7 linked regions of the Tribolium castaneum genome follow. The main gene of each other region encodes a partner of the protein of the gene in region 3 in a complex. Links are inferred from orthologs where the notes say so. Each region holds a gene or a part of one and is shown on either strand. Other genes may lie near its edges. The genes, in order: Ing3, Brd8, MRG15, Tip60, PHD finger protein 12, Eaf6 and rept.

The links.
Region 1: MRG15 (region 3) and Ing3 share a complex: the UniProt entries of both Homo sapiens proteins name them as parts of the nuA4 histone acetyltransferase complex. The link is inferred for Tribolium castaneum from reciprocal best matches to the Homo sapiens genes MORF4L1 and ING3.
Region 2: MRG15 (region 3) and Brd8 share a complex: the UniProt entries of both Homo sapiens proteins name them as parts of the nuA4 histone acetyltransferase complex. The link is inferred for Tribolium castaneum from reciprocal best matches to the Homo sapiens genes MORF4L1 and BRD8.
Region 4: MRG15 (region 3) and Tip60 share a complex: the UniProt entries of both Homo sapiens proteins name them as parts of the nuA4 histone acetyltransferase complex. The link is inferred for Tribolium castaneum from reciprocal best matches to the Homo sapiens genes MORF4L1 and KAT5.
Region 5: the proteins of MRG15 (region 3) and PHD finger protein 12 are in contact, whole or in part, in a cryo-EM structure (PDB 8BPA), measured with the Homo sapiens proteins. The link is inferred for Tribolium castaneum from reciprocal best matches to the Homo sapiens genes MORF4L1 and PHF12. Residues at the interface, in NP_996670.1 of Homo sapiens: Glu201, Lys204, Pro205, Leu207, Val208, Asp209, Trp211, Asp212, Tyr251, Ala252, Glu255, Val256, Gly259, Ile260, Glu262, Tyr263, Val266, Met267, Thr270, Gln271, Leu272, Leu273, Tyr274, Lys275, Arg278, Pro279, Tyr281, Ala282, Leu285, Arg304; in NP_001028733.1 of Homo sapiens: Cys62, Glu64, Gln81, Cys82, Asn84, Pro86, Pro204, Leu206, Arg207, Arg208, Pro209, Phe210, Leu212, Leu213, Ile214, Ala216, Ala217, Arg220, Asn221, Pro222, Thr223, Gln224, Phe225, Gln226, Leu227, Pro228, Glu230, Leu231, Thr232, Thr330.
Region 6: MRG15 (region 3) and Eaf6 share a complex: the UniProt entries of both Homo sapiens proteins name them as parts of the nuA4 histone acetyltransferase complex. The link is inferred for Tribolium castaneum from reciprocal best matches to the Homo sapiens genes MORF4L1 and MEAF6.
Region 7: MRG15 (region 3) and rept share a complex: the UniProt entries of both Homo sapiens proteins name them as parts of the nuA4 histone acetyltransferase complex. The link is inferred for Tribolium castaneum from reciprocal best matches to the Homo sapiens genes MORF4L1 and RUVBL2.

The regions. Positions count from the first base shown.
Region 1 is NC_087397.1:1,047,620-1,052,080, forward strand, and holds Ing3 (inhibitor of growth protein 3), read left to right. Parts: upstream 1-1,660; 5' UTR 1,661-1,774; coding exon 1,775-1,802; intron 1,803-1,879; coding exon 1,880-1,951; intron 1,952-1,998; coding exon 1,999-2,144; intron 2,145-2,190; coding exon 2,191-2,390; intron 2,391-2,436; coding exon 2,437-2,680; intron 2,681-2,862; coding exon 2,863-3,026; intron 3,027-3,075; coding exon 3,076-3,301; intron 3,302-3,350; coding exon 3,351-3,467; 3' UTR 3,468-3,792; downstream 3,793-4,461. Other genes in the region: CAP-Gly domain-containing linker protein 1-like, read right to left, coding at 1-166; uncharacterized protein LOC103313454, read left to right, coding at 304-423, 463-624, 670-792, 834-1,006, 1,054-1,334, 1,384-1,610. UniProt on the Homo sapiens protein: Component of the NuA4 histone acetyltransferase (HAT) complex which is involved in transcriptional activation of select genes principally by acetylation of nucleosomal histones H4 and H2A.
Region 2 is NC_087396.1:10,840,167-10,844,878, reverse strand, and holds the start of Brd8 (bromodomain-containing protein 8), read right to left. Parts: upstream 3,145-4,712; 5' UTR 2,744-3,144; coding exon 2,353-2,743; intron 2,232-2,352; coding exon 115-2,231; 3' UTR 1-114. UniProt on the Homo sapiens protein: May act as a coactivator during transcriptional activation by hormone-activated nuclear receptors (NR). Isoform 2 stimulates transcriptional activation by AR/DHTR, ESR1/NR3A1, RXRA/NR2B1 and THRB/ERBA2.
Region 3 is NC_087400.1:991,169-994,671, reverse strand, and holds MRG15 (mortality factor 4-like protein 1), read right to left. Parts: upstream 1,928-3,503; 5' UTR 1,817-1,927; coding exon 1,789-1,816; intron 1,740-1,788; coding exon 1,622-1,739; intron 1,571-1,621; coding exon 748-1,570; 3' UTR 714-747; downstream 1-713. Other genes in the region: uncharacterized protein LOC657630, read left to right, coding at 1-299, 349-713; INO80 complex subunit B, read left to right, coding at 2,081-2,084, 2,132-2,502, 2,550-2,945. UniProt on the Homo sapiens protein: Component of the NuA4 histone acetyltransferase (HAT) complex which is involved in transcriptional activation of select genes principally by acetylation of nucleosomal histones H4 and H2A.
Region 4 is NC_087402.1:5,803,174-5,807,604, reverse strand, and holds Tip60 (histone acetyltransferase Tip60), read right to left. Parts: upstream 2,762-4,431; 5' UTR 2,367-2,761; coding exon 2,316-2,366; intron 2,261-2,315; coding exon 2,203-2,260; intron 2,153-2,202; coding exon 2,084-2,152; intron 2,035-2,083; coding exon 1,201-2,034; intron 1,151-1,200; coding exon 988-1,150; intron 927-987; coding exon 710-926; 3' UTR 689-709; downstream 1-688. UniProt on the Homo sapiens protein: Catalytic subunit of the NuA4 histone acetyltransferase complex, a multiprotein complex involved in transcriptional activation of select genes principally by acetylation of nucleosomal histones H2A and H4.
Region 5 is NC_087401.1:17,011,276-17,015,898, forward strand, and holds the start of PHD finger protein 12, read left to right. Parts: upstream 1-1,633; 5' UTR 1,634-1,914; coding exon 1,915-1,962; intron 1,963-2,014; coding exon 2,015-2,205; intron 2,206-2,257; coding exon 2,258-2,511; intron 2,512-4,586; coding exon 4,587-4,623. Other genes in the region: bleomycin hydrolase, read left to right, coding at 1-408, 461-581, 996-1,220.
Region 6 is NC_087398.1:15,242,833-15,245,598, reverse strand, and holds the end of Eaf6 (chromatin modification-related protein MEAF6), read right to left. Parts: intron 1,017-2,766; coding exon 772-1,016; 3' UTR 617-771; downstream 1-616.
Region 7 is NC_087401.1:15,894,250-15,897,064, reverse strand, and holds the end of rept (ruvB-like 2), read right to left. Parts: intron 2,225-2,815; coding exon 1,833-2,224; intron 1,785-1,832; coding exon 1,209-1,784; intron 1,160-1,208; coding exon 1,131-1,159; 3' UTR 813-1,130; downstream 1-812. UniProt on the Homo sapiens protein: Possesses single-stranded DNA-stimulated ATPase and ATP-dependent DNA helicase (5' to 3') activity; hexamerization is thought to be critical for ATP hydrolysis and adjacent subunits in the ring-like structure contribute to the ATPase activity.

The sequences.
Region 1 (4,461 bases), on a different chromosome or scaffold from region 3:
ACGACTCTTCCAATTTTTTTACATGCTGTTTGAGCATCTTAATAATTACGTCTTTGTTGGCGATGGTTTTTTCCGCTTCTTTTAGTTTCAAATCCCGCTTGTCGCTTGTCGTAACATTTTCGTACTTTTCAAGACACTTACTGGACTCGCTATTGGTGTCTGTCATGTTCGGAAGCGAAAAATGTGTGCATATTGTTCGGTAAATACGAATAAATTTACAAGTCGTTCTTTAATTTTTTCCACGATTGGTCATTACTGTCATTTTGGACGTTTCCGCTATCAAGTGTCTAAATTCGCATCAAAATGAAGAAGAAAAGTAAAAAAGTGTTCAGGCCTTGTAAAATTCCCAGATATTTGATTGGGTCGGTTAGTCCCCAAGTCATTAAAACAGACTTGGCAGAATATAACGCACACAGATATAAGGTAAAAGCAGAAGCTTCAGGCTTGGTTTACTCCCGTTAGGTTTTTTCAGCGAAACCGAAAACTGATACCAAACCCCTCCCCATGAATCCGTTCAATTATATCAACCTTCGAAAGTTACGGGCAGACGCTGAGCGGTTACAAATGATTGATAAGGAGAATAAGCAGCTCCTTAAGTCCATAAATACGATAAATAGGACCATCGTAAGATTTTGATTTTAATTGTCTTGAAGTGAATTTTTAACGTAGGGAAAAATTGATTCGTATAATCCTGAAGCCTATGCGTCTAAATCGAAATGGCACGCTCACGTTATGAGGATGAAGAGAATTGACCGCAAAAATAAAGCAATATACGAGAAACTGATGGCTGCAGTAAGCCCAAAAAATTAGTTTCTTTATTTAACAGTTAACAGACTTCCAGTTACGATTGTGAGTCGTTACGTAAATTCTGGACCAGTATTATTGAAAAATTGAAACTAACTTCCAAATTCCCTTTGGTCATCCTTCAGAAAGTCTCAGTCGATTCAGTTATTGCAAAACAGCCGTCAATTAGTTGCGGACTTGAGAAATTATCAGAACGGCCCCGGTATAATTAAAAAAATCAAACAATGACTTAATTAATTGACCCCGAAGGTGTTTTTTGGAATTTCAAGTGCTAAATGGCCCAGTTCTGGGCCGCGTAGAGATCGAGCTTTATCACGACCACGTCCCTGTCACAGTCCAGAATTTCTTATCAATTTGCTGCGGTGAGAACAAACAGAACCTTTCGTATAAAAACTGCCCAATCAATCGAATAGTTCCGGGCCGTTTTTTGGAAACTGGGGACATAACTAAAGGGACAGGACGTGGTGGGGTGTCAATCTATGGTAAATACTTTGCAGAGGAAGGCCACATGCTTAAGCACACGAAACCTGGTACAAAACCCGAATTTAGTTTACGAAAAATTCCTGAGTGTTGTTTCAGGAGTTTTGTCCATGGTGCGTGTCCGCAAACACGATAACAACTCGCGCTTTTGTATCACCTTCACGAAAATGGAACAGTTGGATATGCAGAACGTTGTGTTCGGTTATATTGTGCGAGGGGCTGAGAATTTGTTTAAAATTGAGGGGTATGGCCGCAGTATCGGCAAGCCTTTAGCCCCTGTAATCATCTCGGACTGTGGGAAATTGAATCGGGCGCTTGAGTGTTAGTGGTTTTCGGGGCGTCATGTTGTCGTTTGGAATTAAAAATGGCAGTTTCCTTCCATCAAATTGTGTGAAGTTTGCAGTTTCGGGTTTATATCAGGAAATAAAGTCGTAATTAAACACGTATTTACTTTATTATTTATTATTCCGTACCACATTAATACAGCAAAATGTTGTATCTGGAAGATTACTTGGAAAGTAAGTAAATCAGTTACTTTGGCGTGGCATTGACGGAAACGCCAATTGTCAATGTGGCGCTCAATTCGAATTTTTAGTGATCGAGCACCTACCTCAGGAATTACGGGACAGGTTTACAGAAATGCGAGAGTTAGACTTAACAGTGCAAAGTAAGAGTTTGATAGTTAGAGTTGATTAAATAAATTATTAATTGTAGATAACATGGATGAGTTAGAAAAGCGGGTGAAAATTTTTTTCAATGATTGTAAGCGCTATCCCGGTGAATTACCGCCTGCCATTCAAGTCGAGTTCGAAGCTGTGAAAAAAGAGTACAAAAAGACGCTCGAGGACGCAGATGAGAAGGTAGTTGTGGGGTTGTGTGACCACTTAATGATAATTTGAATCAAAGGTGCACCTCGCTAATCAAATGTTTGAACTAGTTGATAAATACCTGCGCCGGCTTGACACAGAACTACATAAATTTAAATGCGAACTAGAGGCAGACAATAAGGGCATAACTGAAGTTCTAGAAAAGCGGTCACTGGAGTTAGACACTCCAGTTAATTCAACAAATTCATCCCAACAACAAAAAGAAAATAGATACGAAAGGTGGTTTTCATTTATGGGAACGTAATCTTTGTTAGTGCTAATGTAGTTCTAGCAGCTTTAGATATCGACAAAGAAGCGAAAAAAGACGGGATAGTAGTAACTCTTTGCAGACCTCATTTGCCGAAAAAAGACAAGCTGTTGCCCCCATACCTCTCGTCGAGACCCGGCATAGTTCAATAGGCCAATCAACGCCCCCAGCTCAGTCTAACGTTACTTATAATTTGGGGCACATAGGCGCGGGGCCTGCCATTGCGGCTGCGGCCTCACAGGCCATCGCTGCCACTCAACAGGTAAAAAATCACTAATTTTATACCATTTTTCGCCTAGAAAATTGTCAAAAATAATCCATTCAATCAGTGGTGGCTGTTAGGACACGAGCCGGGGCGAGTGTCGTATTAATAGCCATTGAGTGCGACCTACATACACTATTTTTTCTACGACCTTGATATTTTATACTATACTGTTTGATCAGATGCAACAAGGCAGGAGGACAGCAAGTCTTAAGGCCTCGTATGAGGCGATAAATACAGGAAGCCATGGTCATGAGTTTAGTATCGGGCGCGAGTTGGCTGGGGCGGCGCAAACGGCCATTCAAGCCATCCAACAGGACCATGCCAATAACAAGAAGAAGCAAAAGTAACGATTTTTCCCATTTTTTTTGGTTAAATTTAATTTTGAATTATAGGAAATGGTCAGGTGGTAGTGCTAGCGCACCTTCGGCGTCAACAACAGTTCAACAAATATTAAATGCTCCGCTTGCTAGTGCCGCCCCTGAATCACCGTCAATAGATGTGTCTTCACAAAGCGCGGAAGTAACAGATGGGGAGTGGACTTATGACCCCAACGAGCCTAGATATTGTCTCTGTAATCAGGTTTCTTACGGAGATATGGTCGCTTGTGATAATGAAGACGTAGGTTCTGTGAAATGTTTCTGGGTGTGTTTTATTATTGTTGTTTTAGTGTCCAACTGAATGGTTTCATTACCCATGTGTTGGTATTACTGCACCGCCAAAAGGCAAGTGGTATTGTCCACAGTGTTTAGCGTCAATGAAACGTAGAGGGAGCCGAAAAAATTGAATGTGTTGATAGAGAGTTTAAAAAGGCTTGTAACAATTTCTCGGAGGCGGGAGAAAAGAATCAGAAATGAGTGAGCTTGTGCAGGAGAAAATGTTAGGGAAATTCGAGATTATTTAATCTGTTTTTTCCACAGAAACGGAATAGTTGTAAAAATAAAAGTATTCAACTGTCATTGTGTTTTTATTGTGATTAATGATTTCCTATTTAATATTAAGATCTTGTGTAATTATGAAAATGTAATATTTATGTATGCTCAACTTTTTACTCTTAAATAGTATTGTAAACCGATTTATTACGCTTATAAATTATAAAACTTGAACAAGAACAGAGTTTTATTTGACACATTTCCTACCCTATCCTTTTTAAGACGTTTAATTAACTTTACTGGACATTGATAACTGAATAAACTAATCACACAGATAATAAGTACATATAAGCAAGGATCAAAATCTGAATTCCAGTCTAATGTAAAACAAAATAAAGCAACAAGAGCGTAAACACATTAGATATTATAATTTTGATACATGAAAATTAATGGAATCGGTAGTTTAACCCACTTGAAAAGGGAACCAGCTCAATATTCGAATTTTACGGTAAATAATTTAAATATTACATTGCGAAATATGTATGTACATTTCCATGCACAGCGACCATTTGCACCGAGTTTTACACACATTACCTAATATTTCCTTGTAAAAATAATAATTAATTAAAAACGCACCTAAAATCTAATGAAGGTAACGAGTAGTAACGAAAATATCAGCCTGAATGCAAGCGAAATTGCATGCCGTGAAACGGTCGGATTTGTAAAAACCCTCCACCTTCACTCACGCGTACCATTTTTCCGAGTCACCGAAAGCCATGCAATTAATCAGCAAAGTCATAGGGTCAATAAATCGTGAGTTGTGAAACGAAGGTCAGAAATTTCATTTTCGAATTCGATAAAAAATTCAAATCATGCTCGTTGTTGCAAGGAAAAAATTACGACATTCCA
Region 2 (4,712 bases), on a different chromosome or scaffold from region 3:
AATTCTAACAATACGAGCATAAAATTGTTCATATTTATTTCAATATGAATAAAACTAATACTAGAAAAAATCACTAAAATCAAACAGCTTATCCGAATACCGCAAAACGTAATGCTAATCATCCTTCCTTTTCTTACTCCTGGAATTCTCCTCATTACCCCTCTTCCTCTTACACCCTGGCTCACTAGTCCTAGTTTCCCTCCTAACAGGCAAATCCTGCGATTGCGCTTGCAACAAAATCTGTATTTGTTGCATCGACTCTTGTTGCATTTGTCTCGCCATATTATAAACCGTATCATTTGTTTTATTATACATAATTGCATTATTAAGCATAAGAAGGACGTCTCTTTGAAACTCCTGCGTTGTTCTTATAGCCCCATTCTCTATATTCTTTCTAATCGTCAACAAATCCATGGGTCTATACACCACACTGTGATACCCTGGAGCTTGGTCATCGGTGATCGGTTTAGAAAACAGTGACGCGTATTTATTTGCAGCCAATCTACTATACACAAGCATTATAGACTTCTTCCAATTGCGATACTCCCGATCATCATCGTAAAAATATATACTGGAAACTGGTGATCCTGGAACTGAATCAATCGGAGTCGCAGGAGTTGAAAGTCGCCTCCTTGTCCGTATTGTAGACACATCTTCCTCCTCCGTCCAGGGACTGTTAGATCTTTCATTCTCGCTCTTAATCCGCGATTTGCTGTCTTTACGGTCCAGTTCGCTGTAATCCCGGTCAGAGAAACTCTCTTCAACCAACTCACTTTCGTCTCTTTGCGCCTTTTCAATGGCCAAGAGAACATCAAATTCTTTATCGTCCTTCTTCTTCGTCCTGGAATAATCGCGCTTTGCTTTCCCGGTCTTGTCCACTTTCACTTCCATATTGATATCGTCGTACAATTCCTCGTTATAGTCGGAAGTCAATGTGGTTGACTCGTCCAGTTTCCTTTCGTCTTTCTTCTCAATCTCTACACTAGATTTTTCATTTTCTGAAACTTTGGCGTCTGTTTCTGATTTTATTTCCGCAACTTCTGTACTTTCCCCTGCTGTTTCTTTCTTTGGTTCCGCTTTAACGGAATGGGCTGGATCTTCAGTTTTATTGACTTCCTTGTCAGTATCCTCATCATCCATAACTACAACTTCTACAATTTCGACGGATCCAGGAGTTGTGCTTTTATCTTTCTTATCGGAATCATCAGTTGGTTCGTTTTTTACTTCTACCAGTTCATCCCGAGATTCTTCGCCATTTGAAGTTAAGTGTTTATTGTCTGAATTTGGGGCTTCGTCAGTAGTTTGTGACCGATCGTCGCTGTCCTGTGCTACCATAGTTTTAGAAGCGTCTGTTTTCACGGCTGTTGCAGGTTTAGCGGGTTCAAAAACTTCCGGATCTTCTTGGAACTCAAACGGATCTATTGCCGGTGTTGTAGTTTCCGTCCGTTTTTCTGTTTCTTTGGTTTCGTCCTTCATATCAGTTTCACTCTCTTCGAAATCTTCCAGTTCCAAATTTAGATTAAGATCACCGTTTCCATCCAGTTGTAGATGCTGTTCCGGATCTGCAACTATATCCTGCGCGTTCTCAATCAAATCGGAGATGATAACATCAACGTCATTCTTTATTTCTGGAAGTGGGCCATTCTGGATCAAGATACTGCTCGCCAAGTCATCAATTTTCAAAATTTGTAGATTGGCATCATCGAGGATATCGTTAGTATTGACATTCTGTTGTTGGGTTTCTTCTCCGGTTGGCTCTTGTCCTATAGCTGTACTAACCAAAAGTTGCAATCCTGGAGAAACTGTTTCTCCAGTTGAGGAGCTTAAAAGACTGGCAATCATGGGGCTAGTAGTTGTGTTGGTTGGCCGTTGGTTGGTAATCGCTGAATGCAATATTGAGGAAGTTGTAACGTTTGGAACTTGTGATGGTGATTTCAGAAGACTTGTCAGAAGTGGCGATAGGGCCGGTTTAGGGGGCTCCTGCACTAGGATTTTCTGTTCTTCTGTTGTATTTTCCATCTCTGGGATTGTGTCCATAGCTTCGGAATTTTTACGTTTTTGACCAATCACCGGGGATGGCTTAACTGGTCTCCACGCTCTTTCTATTTCCTGTTTTCGTAACTCCCTCTCCTTTAGCCACTGTTCGTGTGCCAGGGCTTCTTGTTCCTTCCTGTGTTCCTCTTCATCTATTTCCTTACACCAAATATCCAGTTGTTCTTCACTTACGTTACCTTTAAATAAAACAATTAATTATCAAAAAATACTTAACCGAATTTCCGCAACAGTCTTAAGTTTGAGAGGCTCTAATATAGCCCCTGTAACTTCAAACAACTTTAATTTAATTGTGAATACCTGACTGAAGCAGAGCTTTATCTCTCTGCAATTTCTGATATTCTGCTTTTTCTTCCGCTAGTAGTCTCTTGAGCTCAGCTTGTCTCTCGGCCAAAAGTTTGCGTAGAATGACTTCGGCGGGGGTTTCGATAGTGACTTCGCCCCCAGACGTTCTTTTCTTCCTCTTAGGTGTTTCAACATTCGCTAAAAGAGCCCCATACTGGGCTGCACAGTTCTTCTGGTGGAACCAATCAGGGGGTCTGTTGGGTTCACCAAAGGGTTTTAAAGCTCGGCTCACACTTGTTAAATTCTGGTCCATGTTACGAGCCACTGCTAGAGCCAACTGTTCACGGATTGACCATTTATCCAGCGGTTCACGCTTTATTTGTAAACGTTCTTCAATTGAACTCATTTTGAGGTTATGTTGGCCCGAACGTCCAAAAATCAAATACAAGAACCTTGCCAGGAAAGTGACTAATAGTATCACTGAATAAACATTCTTGAAGTAGAAATTCGCACACAAGAATTATCGTTATAACAAGCTTGAACGTTGTTTATATTTGTCAACTGTCAAAGTGTCAAACCTGGACAAACTATGCAGAAGTTTTGCCTGATTTTTAAAGAAAGTCAACCACAATCAGTGTAAGATTATGTAATGTTTCAAGCACACTTGTCTAAATAATTTCGTAAGATCTTATTATTCATAAAAATTAATAATCTTGAAAATTTCATACGCAGACATTATTAGATATTACGTACAGACCGTGATTTTTGACGAGGGCTTTTATGATCGAAAAGTATTAATTTAATGACTGTTTTTTAATTAATTAGTGTATTTTGGGTGTAGCTGGTTTAATGTTATCAAATACATATAGATTGTGGCCACCTTTTTGTATTTGTCGAATTTTATGGCATATTCTGTTATTAAGTATTTCGGTAGCTTGCGCGGTAGCTACTTTAGTGGCAAGTTGTCAAATTTTTAACCTCACTTTCTTGCGAATGGAATGCAATAAAAAATGTTTTTTTCGAATGCTTTGGAAGCTGTTTCTGGTGGTAGCTCCACCCAGTGTCCCAAAGTGAAGTAAAAAAAGAAGTTGTGAGTGTATACATAACAATCAAATGTAAGGATACTCTTTGAAAAAAAAAAAAAAGGTGGAAACAGTATTCAGAATGGCCCCCGAAGGGCGAATCAGTTATTACATCGACAAATATGGAGTGTTTCATAAAAGTGGTGGAAAAAACGACAAGCCGGTGAATGCACCAGCGTTTGAGACAAGTGTGACAAGACCTTCCTCAACTTGGCTGCGTCTGATAATAATGTTTTGGAATGCAAGAGTTATGAAAGCGGCTTTTCGTTTTGGCGTTGCTGCAATAATCATGAATCAGTATGAGCGTCTGGGATTTGCGGTCCTCTTACTGTGTTTCACGCTATGATAGTTTACTTTGTAACATAGTAGTTGAATAAATTTGTTTGAAATGTTTTTGTGTGTTGAAGGAAATGCGGGCAAACTGTAAAAATGCAGCTTTATTCAATTATAAACCAAATTATAACAACAGTTAAAACATTAAATAATTTGAGATTACTCTAATAGTTGACCAAGAGGGTAGCGATGCGCAATTTAAAATAGGCACTTTTCTACATTTATTTACATGATTCTGAAAAAAATCCCTACTTATAAGGTGAATATGACTGTGAAGGAAATTTTCAACAAATCGTAATTTTGTGAATAAGAAATGATTTTGTTAAAATCGCTCTCATCGTCAAAAGCATTTCCCAAAGTTACGTCACCTAATTTGATAACAGCATGAGCACTTTCGGTAAAAATATAACAGACTTCGTTACAGAATTGCAGTTTTAACCCCTAAAGTGTGTGTAACTACATCCTTTACAACTAAAACACTTCATATACTCTACTCTCATTACGTAACAAAGCAATATTTATAATTTCAGTCTAGGCTAGGATTCATCATGGCAAGAATTTGTGAAACCTATTTTAACATAAATTATATGATATAATTGATATTCATTATTCTTTTACATTCTACTTATAAATAGGTACTCTATGAATGTTGCATCGTGAACGGATGAAAATAAAAGCATGTCAATGTACACTTTTCTATTGCTATTTTATGCTATTCAGACAAGATGAGATCATCCTCCCTGCTAATTCCATTCTTTTATCACTAAAAACTCACTTAACTAAAAATAAATTAATCGTATCTAAGCTAGTCAATTCACTGATGCAACATAACTAAATTAACACATATGCTTTATTTAATAGTTCAGTCAACTACTTAATAAAAAATCACTGTACAATATTAAAAACAAACGTCATTATACAATTTACAAACGAAATAGTTTCATGTGGCATAAAATATAC
Region 3 (3,503 bases):
AAAGTTCCGGCAAGAACAACTCAAAGTCAAGAAGGAGAAACAAAGCGAGATTGATAAAAGCATAAACACGTGGCTTGAGAGCAAAAAGGACGAAGTGGAACGCGCGAAAATGGAAGAAAAGATGAAGAGAGACGCCGATTGTGTTTTGTACGAAGTGACGAAGAAGAAATCGGAAGCGCGCAAGCAACTCTCACTCATTTCCGCGCTCGTTAAGTTGCGGACGGTTAGAGACGCCATGGCCACGCAAAGGGGCGACAAGTTGTCGCTGGAGGACAGGCAGGCCTTCGGGCACGTCACGGGTAAAATTGGCCAAACAAGACAAACACTTCTACATAACTAAACTTTCAGAGAAACTAATTCGCATGTGGGAGAACTCGTACCAGAGCTACTGCAAAGAGGAGCAATGCTTGAAAGTGATGCTGGAACACAACGCCAGTAAGGACTCCAAAGCGGCGATCGCCGCCAAACAAACCCGCATTGTCGACGACTGGGAGTCCCTCCTATTCGGCCCCCGAGACCCCCCCGTCAACAACCCCACCTTCTGGGCTCTAACGAGCGCCGACCGCGACTTGGAGACATTTATCGCCATAAGGAAAAGTTGGGACACGTTTCTAAGTCCGGGGAACGCCTCAGGCTCGGCTATTCCACTCGGGTGGGTCGCCCCGCCCGAGGCCCCCAGCGAGAGTTGGGCCCCGTTTTTAAAAACCGACTAATGCTTTTCTATTATTTTTAATAAAATAATCACAATTAAAGCGCCTTGCGGTGGTATTCAGGTGTGGCGTTCCCGTAGTCTTGCAGGCTGAACAATTGGGCGCTGTTTTTGACCAGATATTTCAAGAAATCTTGGATGTTCTGGAGCAGGAGTTGGATGCTGCGTTCGTCGAGGGGCGTGTACGCCAACATGGCCCCCAGCTTGACGAACAGACGGAGCAAGTGAGTGGCACCGTACACCTCAGACATGGGCTTATCGGGGTAGGTTTGCAAGATATCGGCGTACTGGGGCCGCTCGAACTTGTACAAAAGTTGCGTCCCCAACATCACGTTAAAATACTCCTTGATGCCTTTGACGATTTCAATCGTAGCCGACTCTTTGCTGGAATTATTCGACTTGATTGACTTCTTGTAAGCGAGATAGTTGTCCAGAATTTGCTCGACTGTGACTTTTGCCGGCAAATTTGCGAGTTTTCGTTGTCTGGTAATTACGTCCCAGTCGTCCACCAACCAAGGTTTCAACTCGTCAGGGATTTTAACCTTGATTTCAACCTTATTCAAAAATTGCTCCTCGGACTCGACCGAGGGGTCCAACCGCCCCCTTTTCTTCCGGGGCACGTCTGAACCCGAGTCTTGCCCACTCGACGGTGTGCTTATTTTGCTCTTCCCCCCTTTGATCAGTTCATTATTTGGGGTACTAGATCTCGAGTCAATGTCTTTCGTGGCGTCGGTTTTACTCTTCTTGGCCTTTTTCGTCTTGCTGGGTTGAGTCGAGTGGGCTTTTTGCACCTCCTTTTGTCTCGCAACGTTGGCCTCGTTGTATTTGAGGACACGGCTTTCGGGCACCCATTCGTCCCAACTGCAAACACACGACTGTCAATTACAAGGCCCCCCGAAAACACTTACACACTTTTTGTTCCAACCAGCGTAATGGATAAAGTACTTCACTTGCTTGTCCTTGGTTATGGTCGACTTCAGACATTTGGCTTCGTAAATCAACGGGCCGTGGAAGCACAAAACCTTCTCGCCTGGAAAAGGGGTGTTTGGGCGGCTTAAGGGGGCGACCACGTGTCTTACCTTCGGAAAATTTAAACTTGGGGGGCATTTTCGGCTTCAAACAATTTTTTTTGTTTTGACAATTGACAGTTGGTTGTGGCTACCGGCACATTTGTGCCGGTTATAACGCGTCCCGGTGCCTTTATTTGTTATTTATTGTATTTTGTGAAACATTTATTTGCTTGATGATTGATTTGGGGCGAAATTGTGCCAGGGTTAGTTAATTATGATTGATTACAAGCCAGAAGTGGCTACGGTCACGCCATTTTGTCAACATAACCTAGCTTTAGACGGCGTTTGAATTTGGCTTGGAATGGGTGAGTTTGTTTAAATGTGCCCCCTGATCGTGTTATCGTGGGTTTAGAGTTGCAGAAATCGAAGAAAAGTAAGGTTAAGCGGAGGCCCCCTTTGCCGGAGGACGACACCTCCGGTGATTTGCTCATAGTGGACGAGTCTGGTGCTAAAACCAAGTCGCCGGTGAACAAGCCCCCGTCCGCATCGTCCTCTGGTAATAAAAAGCGCAAAAAACGCGACAGTGCCTCAAGTGACGAGGAACGGTGGCTCACTGCCATCGAGTCCGGGAAGCTTGAGGATGTTGACGACGAATTGAAGAAAATCAAGCCGAAGGACCCGGCCTTGATGACGGCGCGACAGCGCGCCATGTACGAGCGTGAGGTGGACGGGAGCCCCTCTGTGACCACCCCCACGTTAATGTCGCTCCCGACTGGATATAAAGTAATTCAGTTTGTTTCAATTCAAATAGTTTAGACTTGTTGGTTTAGGAGAAGGTCATGACGGCCGAAGCGATTCAAAAAGCGGCGATCAAGTCGCAGAAACGCAAACAACTGGCGGACGAAAAGCGCGAAAAGGATAAGAAGAAGACGATGGAAAGGCTGCTCAAAAAGCAGGAGTCGAAGGCGGCCAAAGCGGCGAAAAACAAAATCACCAAAGCGCAAACCCCCATGATTTTGTACCGTCAGAATGTTGGGTTAACGACAGTGTCGTTCCCGCAAGGGATGGACTGGCCCTTGCCGGGGGCGGGGGGCAAAGAGCCCCCGAAAGCCACACTGTGTAGCATGGGCTGTGGCAATGTGAAAAAATACTCCTGTTCGCGGACAAATGCACCGCTGTGCAGTCTAACGTGTTATAAAAGGAATATCGCTAGTCGGATTTTGTGAGGGGAAGGGAAAAAAGGCCAGTTTTGAGTCAGAGATACGGTAATTTATTTGTTTTACATTTGTTGGGTTGTGACTAGGCCACTTGGATGGCGCGTATTAATTTTCGAATCAAAGTGGCCCGAGCCAATCACAGGCCACTTTGATCAGTTATTGTTACCGGAAGGAAACATTGTATGTGACTCTGTCTATCTGACCTATTTTGGCACGTGTGGGGCGCCCCTAGCGGGAAACTTCCCCGAAATTTGTGCATCTTAAACAAATAAACTTTAAGGTACTGTTCGTTTGTACAGGGTGCTGCTTTTTGGGTGTCCGAAATTAAGAGGTTAGAGAAAAATTAGAGACACATTCTCGGGTCAAAACCGCATCTCCCGATCGTCTTTTGTTTTCGACTTATAAACAAAAATTGACATTTTAGCGAAATCTTAAAAAAATCATATCTTTCTTATTATAAAAGATACACGTTTGAAACAAAGACATTATACAAGCACTCTTTTCCGGAGAATTTAGTAATGTTATCAGCGATTTTTTTCAAAAATTCGTTTAACTGTAATAACATAA
Region 4 (4,431 bases), on a different chromosome or scaffold from region 3:
TTTGATTTCAAACACCTGCATTCAATGTTTTCATGGGTAGAAAAAATGAAATACGATTGTTGAATAATGGTTCAATAATCCTATTTTAATAATTCTGTCCATGAGTACACTGAAGCATGAAAAATAATAATGGTTTAAAAATAAGAACAATAAACAAGTCTTGTGACATGAGAGTCTTTGATTAACCCACATCCTCTCCCATCAGTATTATAAACAAACCCAAAACAAAATATTACACAATAAAACGTACGAATAAACAACGGAAAACGTTTCATTTTTTTATTAATTGAAGATTAGTTTTGCAATCGCAAGTTCATTGATTTCAAAATTCACAAGGTGATGAAAAACGACTAAAACGTTTGAAAAGTAGTCCACTTTAACTCACACTTCGCTTTAATAAAAATAATTCGACGATTTTCAGAGTAAAATCTGACAATTGCGAAACTAGTGAGTTTCTAAATAAAAAATATGCGTAAACGCAAAAATAATACCACTTTCGACTTAATAATATCTTGGACGTAAAATGTGCCAGTAAATACAAACAAAATGCATTTTCGTAAAAAATGTACTACTGAACCCGGTGTTTTCTCCATGTTTCTCCGTCAAAACACAAGTTCGCAGTGTTACTATTATTAAGTGAGGAGGAACAGTGTGGATTGGCAGAGGAATATGTTAATAAAAGAGAAAATGTAAAAAATCATTTATTGATCTACCACTTGGCGCGTTTGCCCCAATCTTTAGGTGTCCAATGCAGACACTTGGGGTCGATTCGGATAAGTCTACTATCCATGGCTTTTTTGTGACTTTGCATAATTTCCTGATTTAACGTTATAATATACTGGCCTTTGTAATAATTGATTAAGTTTAAGTTTTGTAAAGTTGAGATGACGTCTTCTTTTTTAATACTTGTCAACTCACAAATTTCACTTTAAAGTGAACAAACATTTCACAATTACGAAAAATAAAGAAATAATCAAAAATACTTACTTGATCGTTATTTGTGGCTTCTCGTTATCACCCACTGGCTTCATTGATATTAAGATTTCTAAAATAGCTTGTGCCCAGTAACTCCTATACGAAAGCAAACCCAAATCGGAGAGAGGTTTTTCGGGAGAACCCGTTTTACCTTCGAACTTTGATAATTCATAACCTGAAACAATTCGTGAAATTTCGACAACAAAAATTCGCACTCAAACTCACTAAATTCGATTAGTAATTTTCCGTAACCCTTTCGCTGATACGGAGGCATGGTTAAAATACACGCGACGTTAAAATCTTCCGTTGATTCCTTCTCTTTCGAAAAATAGCCAACAATGTGAAACCCTCTATTATCAAAAATGGTCATTACGTAAAACAAAAACGGGTCCGTGTCGTAATACAGTGTTTTATGATCGAGGAACAGCTTCGCCAACAAACACAAATTCTGGGCGTAGACTTTATTTTTCCGCCCGTCAATTTCAAAAAACGAGACGTTTTCCTTGCGATAAATCTCATTTCCGGGCGGGTGTCTCAAATTACATTTGACCAAGTGGCGTTCTAGACACTTCCTGCTCTTTCGGTACTTGAGGCAAAACTCGCAGATGTATATACAGCTCAAGTTGACCATTTCTTGCGGATATGGCGCAAAATACCACGGCTTTATCCTGTGTTTCCCTAACTCGATCATATCGATGTTCTTCATCCTGGTGACCACATCGTCATGGTGCGACACCATGCTCCCAGACTGCCTCGGCCCTGGGGGCATCTGTGTGGGCCCATCTTGCGAGTCTTCGCTCTCAAGAGACGGCCCTTTTCGTTTCCTATTTATGCGTTTTTGCAACGCTGCTGCTAGGACAGCACTGCCGTTGACAAGTTCGGAGGCAGCTGTCACAGGGCTCGAGGGCCTTGATACCGAACCGATGGCACCACCGCCCCCAATGTGAATTTTTTTCGGAGTTGAGACTCCAGTGTTACTCCCGCCGTCACGTCTCGGGAAGTGGACTTTACGAGTGTCGAGCGATTCTTCGGTCACCCATTCGTCCAAACGCTTGTTAACTAAAACCCAAGTTAGTTCACAAGGAACGAAACGGGTGTCCAATCTTACAATCAACGTAATGGACGTAGTACAATTTCGAGCCTTGCACGTCCTTAATACTGATAATTTCGGCCAAAGCTGCAATTTAAAACATAAAAACGTGCAAAATGTGCCAAAGTGGGGCTTACGCCAGTCGGAAGTGCCGGTCATGTGAACCGGGAGCCTGCATCCTTCCACTAACGAATTCTAAAAGTGAGGTTGTGTCAACATTTTGGTTTTGCAATTTTTAATGAAAATATACCACAGAATCACAAATTGTGCTGTCGTCGATTTCCTCCATTTCCACTTTCATCGATTCTGCTTGTTTTTCACAATTTCGGGGGGAAAAATTGTAATTATTGCCGAACAAACCTCACCACCACAACTACCGCAAAAAACATAATGCGCAATATCCATAACGATTTTTTTCCATTGCATAATTGTTATCCAAAATAATGTTTTGATGCGACTTATCTGTATATGCACATTCGGCGAACCGAAACAATACACACAAGTGTCTACTATTTAATAAATTATCATTATCTAGTCATGGGCGTAGGGTGTTGCTCGGGGGTTTCCCCCGAAACCAGCACACTCGATAAAATCACACAATTCCATTCTCAGACTCATTGTTAAATTAACGCCTCACCAAGCTTTGTTCACAAATTGGTGATAACACGTTTGACCTTAGCTTCGCTTGAACGCAGCGTTCTCCTAATCGCAGCCCACAGTTCAAACGGAGTTTCGCCTATTTGCTCTTGGATTCGCAACAACTCGAAGAAAATTTGGACGAACTAGGCAAGGACTGTGCAAAACGAGAAGACATAGAGTCGATTATTTTGCACCACAACCAACTCACAACGCTCCCCAAAAACTTGTCAAAAGTCACAAACGTCCAAGTCCTCCATATCAGCAACAACGGCCTTATGACCTTACCTGATGTTTTCGAGTACTGGCATTTAACAACACTGGTTGCGAAAAATAATCGCTTCAGTAACGAATCCCTCCCGAAAAGTTTCGCTGAGAGTGCGAGCATGCAGGAGTTAAACCTGAGCGGGAATGTTTTCGAACAGTTCCCGAACAACTGTTTGAGTTTACTAATTTAAAGTACCTGTACCTAAGAGGGAATAAAATTAAAACAATACCGAAAAACATAAAGAAATTAAACTGGTAAGTGGGGACGATTAAAACGACCACACGTGATAATGATTGCAGCCTTCAAATCTTGTCGATGGGTGGCAATCAATTAGTGGAAGTTCCTTCAACTCTAGGCCAACTGAAGCAACTGCAGGCTTTGGTGCTTTGCGATAACTTAATCGAGAGTTTGCCGTCAAATATCGCCAATTTGCACAACTTGAAGTCGCTCCAGTTGCACAAAAACAAATTGCGCACTTTGCCGCCTGAAATAATCGCGCTGAAAAATTTGACTGAGGTAACAAATAAATCACCTTTATGTAAAAATAAAATTCGTTCGTCACAGCTGAGTCTCCGTGATAACCCCCTTGTTGTCCGTTTTGTGAGCAACATAACACATAACACGGCTAGTCTGAAAGAATTGTCGGCTCGTGTGATAAAACTTTTCGCACCAAAATTTCACATTGCCAGTTTCTGTTTAAATAAAAATATGCATTTTTATTTTTCCATTGACTGCATGCGAAACTTTTATAATTTTAGACGTTTATAGGCAAATACATTTGTCATAATTAATTTTTCTAGATCAATGCTGTTCTATTTTGAATAATTCTGTGTATGAATGTTACTAAATTTGACGGATTTTGACAGTGAATATTTCTGGTAATGACCTGTTTTAGACTTGTGTGACGTCACATCCGTGACGTGTCCCGAGGTTAGGTGTGCGGCGCAGGCGGCGAGAGCGCTTCAGTCGACAGCGAGCAGCGGCACGGGTCAGATCGGGAGCGGGACCGGGAGGCGGGGCGAAGCGAAGCGAGGTGAGGTGAGGCGGTTTATTTAAATTATTGTGTATTGTGCCGTTTCGTTCAATTTATTCAGTTTGTTACTTGCCGTTGTCGCGAACGGACGTATGTTCAAGCAAATCTAAATTTTCCGGTTTATATTTTAAATTCGGTGACTAGTGATCGCGTTTGAGTGACACATTTTAAATTCAGTAACTATAAGTAAAATCAAAGCACTCAAATAATTTATCGTCGCGTACTGATTTTGTCGTTAATTTCAATCGATGAAAATAAAGTCACTTGCTCTAAATTTAATGCAAATAAACATTTTTTTTTGGTTTCATTTTTATTAATATTTCTTTTAATGCTACAAACGGTAGCCAACGTGGAAGCGATACCCAGGTACGTCCATTTTATTTTTGTGTCGTATTTGTTTATTTCACAAACCAATAATTCCTTAAAATT
Region 5 (4,623 bases), on a different chromosome or scaffold from region 3:
CGTAATACGCGAACAAATGAATACGATTTATCGTATTGTTGGCATTTGTTTGGGTGTGCCTGCTGAGACGTTCACTTTCACTTATTACGATAAGAACAAGACTTATCACAGCATTGGTCCAATAACACCTAAAGCGTTCTATGAAGAGCATGTGAAGCCTGTTTTCGATGTCGATAATAAAGTGTGCATAGTTACCGATCCGCGACCGTCTAACCAATACGGTAAAGTATACACAGTGGATTGTCTGGGGAATGTTGTGGGTGGACGTCCCTGTATATACAACAATCAACCCGTTGAACTTTTACTCGATGCCACGGCCAAGTCGATTAAAGATGGCGAGGCAGTGTGGTTTGGGTGTGAGGTTATGAAACGATTCGCCGGAAAACAGGGGATTTTAGATTTGAAAATGTAGGTTTTTTTTTGGTTGGTTGGGTTTGTGGTTATGGTTTTTTGGTTTTAGTCATAATTTTCCGTTGGTTTTTGGTGTGGATATTCAGACGATTTTGAGTAAAGCCGATAGATTGATTTATGGAGACAGTGCCATGTCACATGCGATGGTTTTCACCGCTGTGAGCTTGAACGTAAGTAGATTTTTATGTTGGCAGTGTTGCCACCTCAAACAAATATTTTTGATCACCCGGTAGATTGTATTCACACCGATATTTTTCCTGTTGGCAACACTTAATCACCAGAGATTTGGTGATTTTAGTGCTAATTTGCTTAAAATCGATAGGTTTTTACTTTTATTCGAGTATTTTAGTGCGTTTTTCCTTTACAAACGTAAATTTTTTATTAAAAGCCACAAAATTTCGCCAAAAATGCAGTTTTTCCAAGTCTAAACCATAAACTAAACCTTGGAAAATAACTAAAATAGAAATCTAGGAGCTTTTCAGCTCGGATCTAGTAGGCATGATTGTGAGCTGGCAGCACTGGACATGGCCAACTTAGAGCACAATTTTGACCAGACTCATTATTTTTTATTGTTTTTCTGACAGGAAAAAGATGAAGTGACGAAATTGCGTGTGGAAAATTCATGGGGTGAAGATCGTGGCGAAAAAGGCTACTTGATTATGAGTACTGACTGGTTCAAGGAGTACGTTTTTGAAGTGGTGGTTGATAAAAAGTATGTTCCTGTTGATGTTCTTGAAGTTTTTAAACAAAAACCGATCGTCTTGCCAGCTTGGGACCCCATGGGAACACTTGCCAATGTTTCATGTTAATTTGTATTTTTTGCTCCAATAAAATTTTGTGGCAATAAGTCAGTGTTTTATTTATACGGCGATACAAAGATAATATCTGTTTCAAAACTACAAAATTAACTGTCACTTGTCAATTAGTTTTTTCTTCTAACTAGTGGGCTTTTTTGGCACTAAACTGATCACCAGAGCCCGATTTGAACATAGAAAGTTTTTAGTTGTGACATACATGACCCCAAGAAATGTAAATGCGCCATTGCTTTTTTATAGTTTTGAAATAGCAAGTACATTAGGGAAGAGATTTTTTATTGGAATAATATCTCGCGATTGAAACTTGTGGTTGGAAACAAAGTCCGTGACTAATTCAATAATTAATTAATTCAGTTTTTGTAAAAATAATTAATTATTCGTGTGAATGAAGGGAATATTTGATAATGGCGCTGCTCGGTCGGTAAGTCGGTAAAAGTGACAGCTCGCGGCAAACACTGTCAAAAACCTGCCAAACGTTTTATAAATAAGCGTAAAAATTCAAGTGTTATTAATGAATTTATCTCAACCGATTGATCGTTTCGCCCCCATTTCACCGTCATCATAACCAAATTGCAGTTTTCAGTGCCATTCATATTTTCCCCCAACCATGTAACCAAAACCGAAAAAACCAAACTCGAGTGAGTGAAAAACCACTCAGTTCATTCCCACGCCACCGTTCTCCTCAGCAATGGCTTCAATCGAGTACGATTTGGACACATCTGGGGGTCTCATGGACGTAAGTCGCGCAAAATGGCGGATTTCCGCAGCCTTTGTGTGCGCTTTTGCAGCAAATCCAGGCTCTGATCGCGCCCCCGCAGTCCGAGGACACGAAATCGCGCAAGGGGGCCACCGCCACGGAGCACCCGTACTTCAAGCGGCCGGGAAAGGGGCACAACCACGACAGTTGCGACGCGTGCGGCGAAGGGGGCGATTTGATTTGCTGTGACAAGTGTCCGTCGAGTTTTCATCTGCAGTGCCAGTAACACGGGGACGCCCCGGTTTGTGGTTTTGGCTAAACGGTTGCGTTTCAGTGATCCCCCATTGGAGGAGAAGGATATACCGAGTGGAGAGTGGTTGTGTCACAGTTGTAAATATGCAAAAAAGAGCAATGCGCCCCAAACGAGGAACAAACGCTCGGCGTCCACGCCGGCGGGGAAAGCCCCCAAAAAGGCGAAAGTCAGTCCGATGGATTTGTTAATTCAGGCTGCGAGTTCAATGAATCCCAAGCAGTTTGATTTGCCCAGGAGTATGAGTGTACCGTGCATTTTTCCAGGGACTGATAAAGGTTTGTTCAGGTTGTTTTGTTCTTTTTTTCCATGAGATCAATTTTTTTTTTGATTTTTTTTTGTTGTTTAAATTCAACAAGGAATCAATTTTTGACACGGCCTGCTCTAATTCAGTTCATTTTCGATCACATGTTATAATTTTACAGCGTCAAGTTATAAAAAGTCTTTAGATCAACTCTTGCTGTGGAATTTAGATTGCTAGATTTTTATTGTCTTTGATAGATTATCGTTTTATTCTGTTGAAGTGTCAAACGTGCTACTTGCACGTATATAGTAACCGAAGAAATCAACATACCTTCAAAATTTCACAGCAAGAGTTGATCTAAAGTCTTTTTGAACGCATTATATAATATTACAGGATTTTTGTCAAAATAAAAACCACTAAACTCGCAGTTAAAAAAATAAAATCGCTTCAGACTGTTAGAAAATTAACAATTTTGTAGAAGTTATTTGATTTTTGATGATTTCTGGCTCAAAAATATCGAAACCAGGTGTTGGAAATTTAAAATCGCTTTATTCTATCCAACAAAACAACGTGATTTATTTGAAAACATTTTATTTTTTAAGATTTCTGCCTTAAAACGACGAAAATCGTAGTCAAAAATATAAAATCGCTTAAACAGTTTGGAAGAAAACGATTCATTTTGGACAATTTCTTGCTTAGAAACGTAGAGAATTGGTTGAAAACTCCGCATTTCGAACGATTCTTTGCTCAAAAAAAAAAAAATTCATAAAACTGGCTAAAAAAAACGGTTTATGTATTAGTTTGGAAGAAAACGATTAATTTTGGACAATTTCTTGTTTAAAAATGAGAAAACTCTGAGAATTGTCTGAAAACGGCTTATTTTACCTGAAAACGATATTTATGTTATAGTTTAGATAAAAATAAAAATTTGAGATAACGTTTTTGTTTTTTGATTTTCGATAATTTTTTGCTTAAAACGTTATCACCTATTGTCTAAGACCTAAAATGGCTTTATTCTGATGAAGAAAATAACAATTTGGGCATTAATTTAACGGAAAACATATAATTTCGGATTATTTCTTTTTCTCTAAAATGACAAATAATAATAATAATAATAATAAAAGCCTTTATTCAAGAAAAGAATGTGAGAAGGCAAAGTTTAGCTAACCTCTCACAAAACAAAACAAAAACATACATTTTTCAAAATAAATTAAAAAACCAAAACTAAAAATAAATGCGAAAAGAAAAACTTAAAATATTAATATTAGAAAATAATATAATTTTTAAATAATAGTAAAAGAAAAAATATGTGTCCTGAATACTTTGAAAAAAATAATAATAATAAAAATAAAGATACAAAATGAAAACAAAACAACAAAAGAATAATTATTCAATTAATAAAAAATTTAACTTTATTGCCTTGCTGCAGAAATTTTTTATTCGATTATTAATACGAGAAAAAAGGGTGCAGTTCAAAAGGGTTTCCCAAATTTTTGTACAATTGGCTTATTGTTTAAACTTGTTAAAAATTTAATTGATTGATTTTTCTATAAAAAAAAATATGTTCAAATCGCATAACTTTCTGAAGGTCTTAGCAACAATATAGCACATAAAATTGAAGAAAAAATTTCGTCTCATTTGAAAATAAAATGAAAAAAAAATTTTTTTTGCTCATTTTTTTCTGTAAGACAATGATTTCTTCTAGGAACAACATCCATAAAATAAAAAATTGAGTTAAGTTGTTACATAATTATAAGCCACTCTGAAAACATGGATTAAACAAGACTGTTACGTTTCACTTAGTAAAATCAATGTTGCAATTATTATAACAGCCTGTTTTATTGATTTCATTTTCATTTTTAATTTACTCTTTTTTCTAATCGATTTACTTAAATAATTTATTCAGCAGATTCTATTGTGTACTCGTTTCGTAAAACTCATTTGTAATTCAGCGTTTAAAATTCAGTAGTCACAAGTAAACGTCGATTATTGATTTAGTTTTGTCTTTGTCTTTCCGTCTGGTAATAAATACAAAATATTTTGCTAGAATTTTAACTTTAATTTTTGTACTTTTGTAGGCGTTTTAAATGTTGTATCTAATTTTTTCAGTCGAAGCCCCATATTCTCGCAACGGCCGCAAAAGCAT
Region 6 (2,766 bases), on a different chromosome or scaffold from region 3:
TTGGTCGTCCCATTTTTTGTCAAAATACCAACGTTGACAAAAAACATCTTTAAAAGATTTTTGAATCAACGGTATAAGGATCAAAGATTGATTTTAAGAATCACAATAATTCCTTAGTTATTTGTGGAGAGAAATGCTTTTACTAAACACGTCTGGCATATTACAAAACCATTTGTATAAGAAACAAGATTTTTCAAATACTTTCGCAAAAAAATTAAACGGATATTCTAATACGCTAATGATCGGATTCTCTCACCTAATAGAAAAAACATAATCCGAAAAAACGAGGTGTAGTAATGAGATTACAATTTCTTTGGAGTTTAGTCGCACACCTTTGTGTTTGTTTTTGACATAAATCTTACACAAGAAAAAGTTTATTTACTTTATACGATTTATAATTTATGTTCGTCTAATTAATTAATACCTTGTAATAATTTCTAACGCAAAAGCGTAATAAAAACTAAGAAAATGACATTTACGAGCAGACAATTTTATAATGCAGCAATGAGTGTTGAAAAGATAAAACAATTTAAAGAAAGTTGAACTTACATAAATACTTAAATTTATAGACACATACACTTACCGTACTTATTTCTTATTTGAATGAAGGAAATCATTTAATTGCTGAATAATTTTATTTATTGTTCCAAACAATTACATCGGTAAAAAGTGTACAATTTCAATATGCAGGTACTTAGATTCCAAACTCACAATTGAAAAACCTTAAAACTGTAAACACACACAAATAGGTTGAGAAAACAGCACAAAAAGTCATCTGTGTCTAGCTTTCTTATTATTAGTTTTTTTAGCACTTGCACTGAAACTTTTCTGTTTGGCCGAAACGTCTCTATTGGGGCTATTTCGATGGTCAAGCCCGTTCTGTACACCATTCAAGGAATTCGTCGAGTGTTTTCCTGCATTTTTCATCCCAGAATCTATATGGTTCGAATTAGGACCTAAGTTAGTATCACTAGAATCTCCATTAGTTTGAGATTCAGTATCGCTGTGCGGCTCCACTACGAGTAAAAAATAAAACTAAAATTACTTGAAAAAGTAACTGCTTGAACGTAATACCTGTACAGAAAAACTAGACGGTTTTAGCAATTTAATTGCCAAATCATTCGGCTGAAAAAATGAACGATGAATAAAAGCGGCGATTTTGTGCAATGTAAGTAGATCGGATCAGTGGCCTTGTAAATTTTTCTGTTAAGGTATTTCCAAACTAATTACTACAAAACGCGTTACAATGACCGATTGTTCTGGCGACTGTTATTACAAAATGTCTACATTCCATCGCCAAAAACAACGTTTATAGACTATCACAAAATTTTAGTTGCTAATTAAGTGAATAGGAGGCAGGATACAATTATTAAAAAAACAAAAAATATGAAAAAGTAAAAGTAACTTTAAAAATGAGAGAGATTCCACGGTAAACAAGCAAATTTTCCGACACAATTAATTTCTAAAAAGCGTTCATTAGAAAAATTATGTTGACATCAATGGTTTTTAAATTGCTGGGGCCATAATTAATTTACGGATTACTTCCGCATTTTTGCCCCACTGTTATTATGTAAATATTTTCCATTTATAGTCATCAAGTTACAGCATGGGAATTTTTTCTGACTTAATTAGAATAACGTACACTAAATTCAAATATGACAGGCGTCAAACGCTACTAAAAATTAGGTATTTATGACCTATTTACCCTTAACTTAAAACTCAATTTTCATTTTTAATTATTTTTTAATATAAAAAACACTGGGGCATTAGAAATTTACTCTTTTTTCAACTTTATATTAAATTCATAATTTTCGATGTTTCTACAGGGTTAGTCTAAAAAAGTATATTTTTAAAGCTAAAATCATAAAGATGAGCGTTTGCTATCAATTAAATCTTTCTACGCATTTTTTTTTCGGAATTTTCCTATAAATTTTTAAAATAAAGTTTAATTAAGCCAATGAAAAAATTTTTGTGCAAAAATAGATAAAAAAAATAATCATCGATTAAGTTAATCTTGGCAAAGTAAATCACAAGTTCAATCTTAATTACAGTTTGATTACAATTAAAAATGTTGGAAAATATGAACAACACAATAATTTTATTTTTTGGTGGCTAGAAACAATTTTTTTATTATTAATGGTTCCCTTCAGAAAGAATATCATTAGAATTTTTTCGTCAGTGACTTAATATTAATTAATTTAAATTATGTATAAAGAACTGCCGAAAAATTCTCTGTGTAATTATTGAGTTTTGAGACACAGGAAGAAAATACTTTTAGCAGAATGACACTGTACGTATACACCTCAATTTCAATTTCAATGCAATATTATTTTGCAAATTCTGAAACTCAAACAAAAACGATTTTTAGAACTAATCCTGAACTAGTACAGAATTTATTTAAAGCCCATGTGTTACAAAACTAAATCCACATAGTTAGGATATTTTTTACCCTACTTCCCTCCAGTTTGGAACGCCCCTGCTCAAAATTTCTATAGTTAATTTTTTTGTATAATCAACTGTCAGTGTCAAAATTCTGATAAAGACTGTAACACCCTAAAAGTTCATGTTCAACCACTTTAGAAACTGGCTGTATTCTGTATTTGACAGTTTGAACACCAGATTTGACATTTTTGAAAATTGGACGTTAGTGTTAATCGTTAATTCGTTACTCTAAAGGTGGTCTAAAATAACTAAATGTGTTGTTGTACGTCTTGTAAATTGGAGACAACTTGAAAAATTTGGAAATTGAATTTTCTAGGTAAAAAA
Region 7 (2,815 bases), on a different chromosome or scaffold from region 3:
AGAAGTATTTTTAGCTATATCTTAAAACCTAATACCTTGTTTTTTCTACTTTTCTTTATAATTAATATTAATTAGTCGAAGTTTTATAAATTCTAGTGCTTCTATAAAATATCTATACTTAAATAATTTTTTGAATAAAAAATTTGATATCTTGATTTTTTTATTTTAATTTTTTTAATGAATTATTTCCTGTGGCTAGTAACATTGTATCGTATGTTTTAAAACTACAATAATTTTTCTTATAAAAAAATTCTGAAAAAATATACATGTATACGAAAAATATAAATAGCATATTCTGAATTCTGCATGATTGTTAGTTTTTGGGAAATAGTAAAAATAAACCTTGAGCAGTTTTATTTTGTAAAAAGAAAAAAATATACAAAAACTAGATCAAAATAAGAAAAAAAAAATATAAAAAATAGATCAAAAAAAAAAAAAGAAATTGGAATTAAAAATTAAAAAAAATAAAAGAAAATAAGAAATTTCTCGCACTTGTCTTTGTGTCCTTATTTTGCCTAGGGGATAAAAATTCCCCTAGATCTACGTCTGGCAACCCTGATTTGGGCAAAAACTTGACATTTGCGGGTCATTGACCCGCCAAGTTGCCAACATTACAAAGATGTTTCAATCAAATTCCTCAATCGTTACGTAATTTCAACATTCCCTATGTTTTTTCTTAAATTACGCACTTAACTGGATTAGAAAAATGATTAATGACCCAAAACTGGGTTAAGTTCTTTGTCATTTCGTGCGACTTTACAAATTAAACACATGTTGTAACACGTCGTAAGGTCGAAAAATCATAAAACAACTTGTTAATTAAATATTTTATTCAAAAAATACACAAACTTACATAATAACGGAATTATGTAAACATGTCAAGTGTGACACTTTGATTCGAGAAGATTAAGGAAACGTCAAAAATTTGACTCGAAATTGCCGTTTCCCCCAATTATTTCGCATGAAACAACATCATGGAAATTTCTCAACACACACCTGAATATTTCACCATTCACCCGATCTAGAACGCGATGCAATTAACTAAAAAAAAAAAAACCGAAAAAAATGGCGGGAAATCCAACTGTCAATAAAATTCCCGGGTCAAGTGTCACAAGGCAAAGGTAACGCGATTAAGTCGTGTCCATTTCGATCGCGTCATCTGGAAAACAAAAAATAACAATCGCTGCCTCCATCTCACTCCAACACACCTTCATTGAACATAAACTCCTGTTGGTACTCCTTGAGAAATTGAACCGAGCGCCCTTCATCGAAAAACAATTGATACGCCCTCTTGATGTCCTCAACATCGACTTCGGGGGCTTTGCGCTTGCGCGCAATTAAACTTGACGTCATGATCAACTGCATGCCGTAGCGCAGTGACGTTTCTTTCGAAATTCGTGTCAAAACAGTCAGTGCGTTGTCAGACATTTGACAGTCTTCCTCCTCGCAACGGATGCTCAAAATCTCGCGCAACTCCTTCTCATCGTAGGGTGCCGTGGGCACGATGATCATGCGATCGAGCAAATCGAGGGGAATCCCATGCGGCGATTTGTAATTGGTGCCACGGATGCGTGTGATTCCCCGATTGGTCGCCATGATGACAATCGGCGCCATTTCGTTTTCGAGCGCGCGATTCAAAAACGAGAAACACTCGATATCGAGCATGTGGACCTCGTCGATGAAAAGCACCCCGGGGATCATTTCCGCCTTGCCCTCCTCGCGCCATTCGGCCACTTTTCCGTTGATTTGCTCGCGAACTTCCGGCTTGATTTCGCCGGTGTCGCCTGAAAGTCGGTAAAGTAGGGAACTTTAAGCGGCGATTGGGTAATTACCCGAAAAAAGGGCGAGGAAGCCGTGCGTGCGACTGTTGATGACGTCGATTTCGTGCAAGGTCACTGTGTGAACGACTTCCTTCCGCTTTTGGAGTTCGCCTTCGGGACATTGAACGAAACGAGTTTGCTGGCCAGTGGCGTCGTAGTCTCGGGCACGTGCGAAAGAGCGTCCAAGACGCGATATTTTGCCGGTGGCTTTGTCAATTGTTATCACGTCGCCTGATTGAACCTTCTCTTTCAATAACGAATCGATCATTTTGCCACCGAGGTCGTAGACGGTTTCCATTTCCGTTGTTTTGAGGATTAGTTTACCTACTTTTGTACCAACGCCGGTGGCAGGACGTTCGATTTGTACTTCGACGACTTCACCTTCGATTATTTCGCTCTCCTCCCTTTGGTTGGGGAAAAAAAAGCATCGGTCTCACACTTGATGGTGAAAGTTGGGTGATATTAAGGCGCAATAATGTGGCAAAAAAAGCGTTTCGTAAGGATTGTAATTCAAAGCAAATGATTAAGAACGAACAAAGCGTGGTTTATTATTGAATAGAGGTTTAAAGACGTTTCCGTTTAGGAGAAATCGGAAAAAGAAAAAAAGGTAAACAAAGCACACTATTATAATAAGAGAAATCAAAAATAAGCACAAATTAAGAAAGGAATAAAAGAATAAAGTACAATACAAAAAAAAAATGTTGTAGAAATGAATTTAATAAATAAATCGATACAAAATAACGAAAACGGGAAAAAGAATAAATAAAATATGGACGAAAAAATGTAATTAACAAATGATTATAATAGAAGAATAAAAGGTGAGCAAACAAAAAAATTAATAAAATATATGTTTAATAAAATTGGAAAATAAAAAAAAATCGTTGCAAACTCTTAGGAAAGAGAAAAGGCGAAATAAAAGATAAATGTGAACCAAAAAATTAAGTTAACAAAATTCAAAAGTGAGGTCAAATTATTACAAAAGAAAGAACAAAATA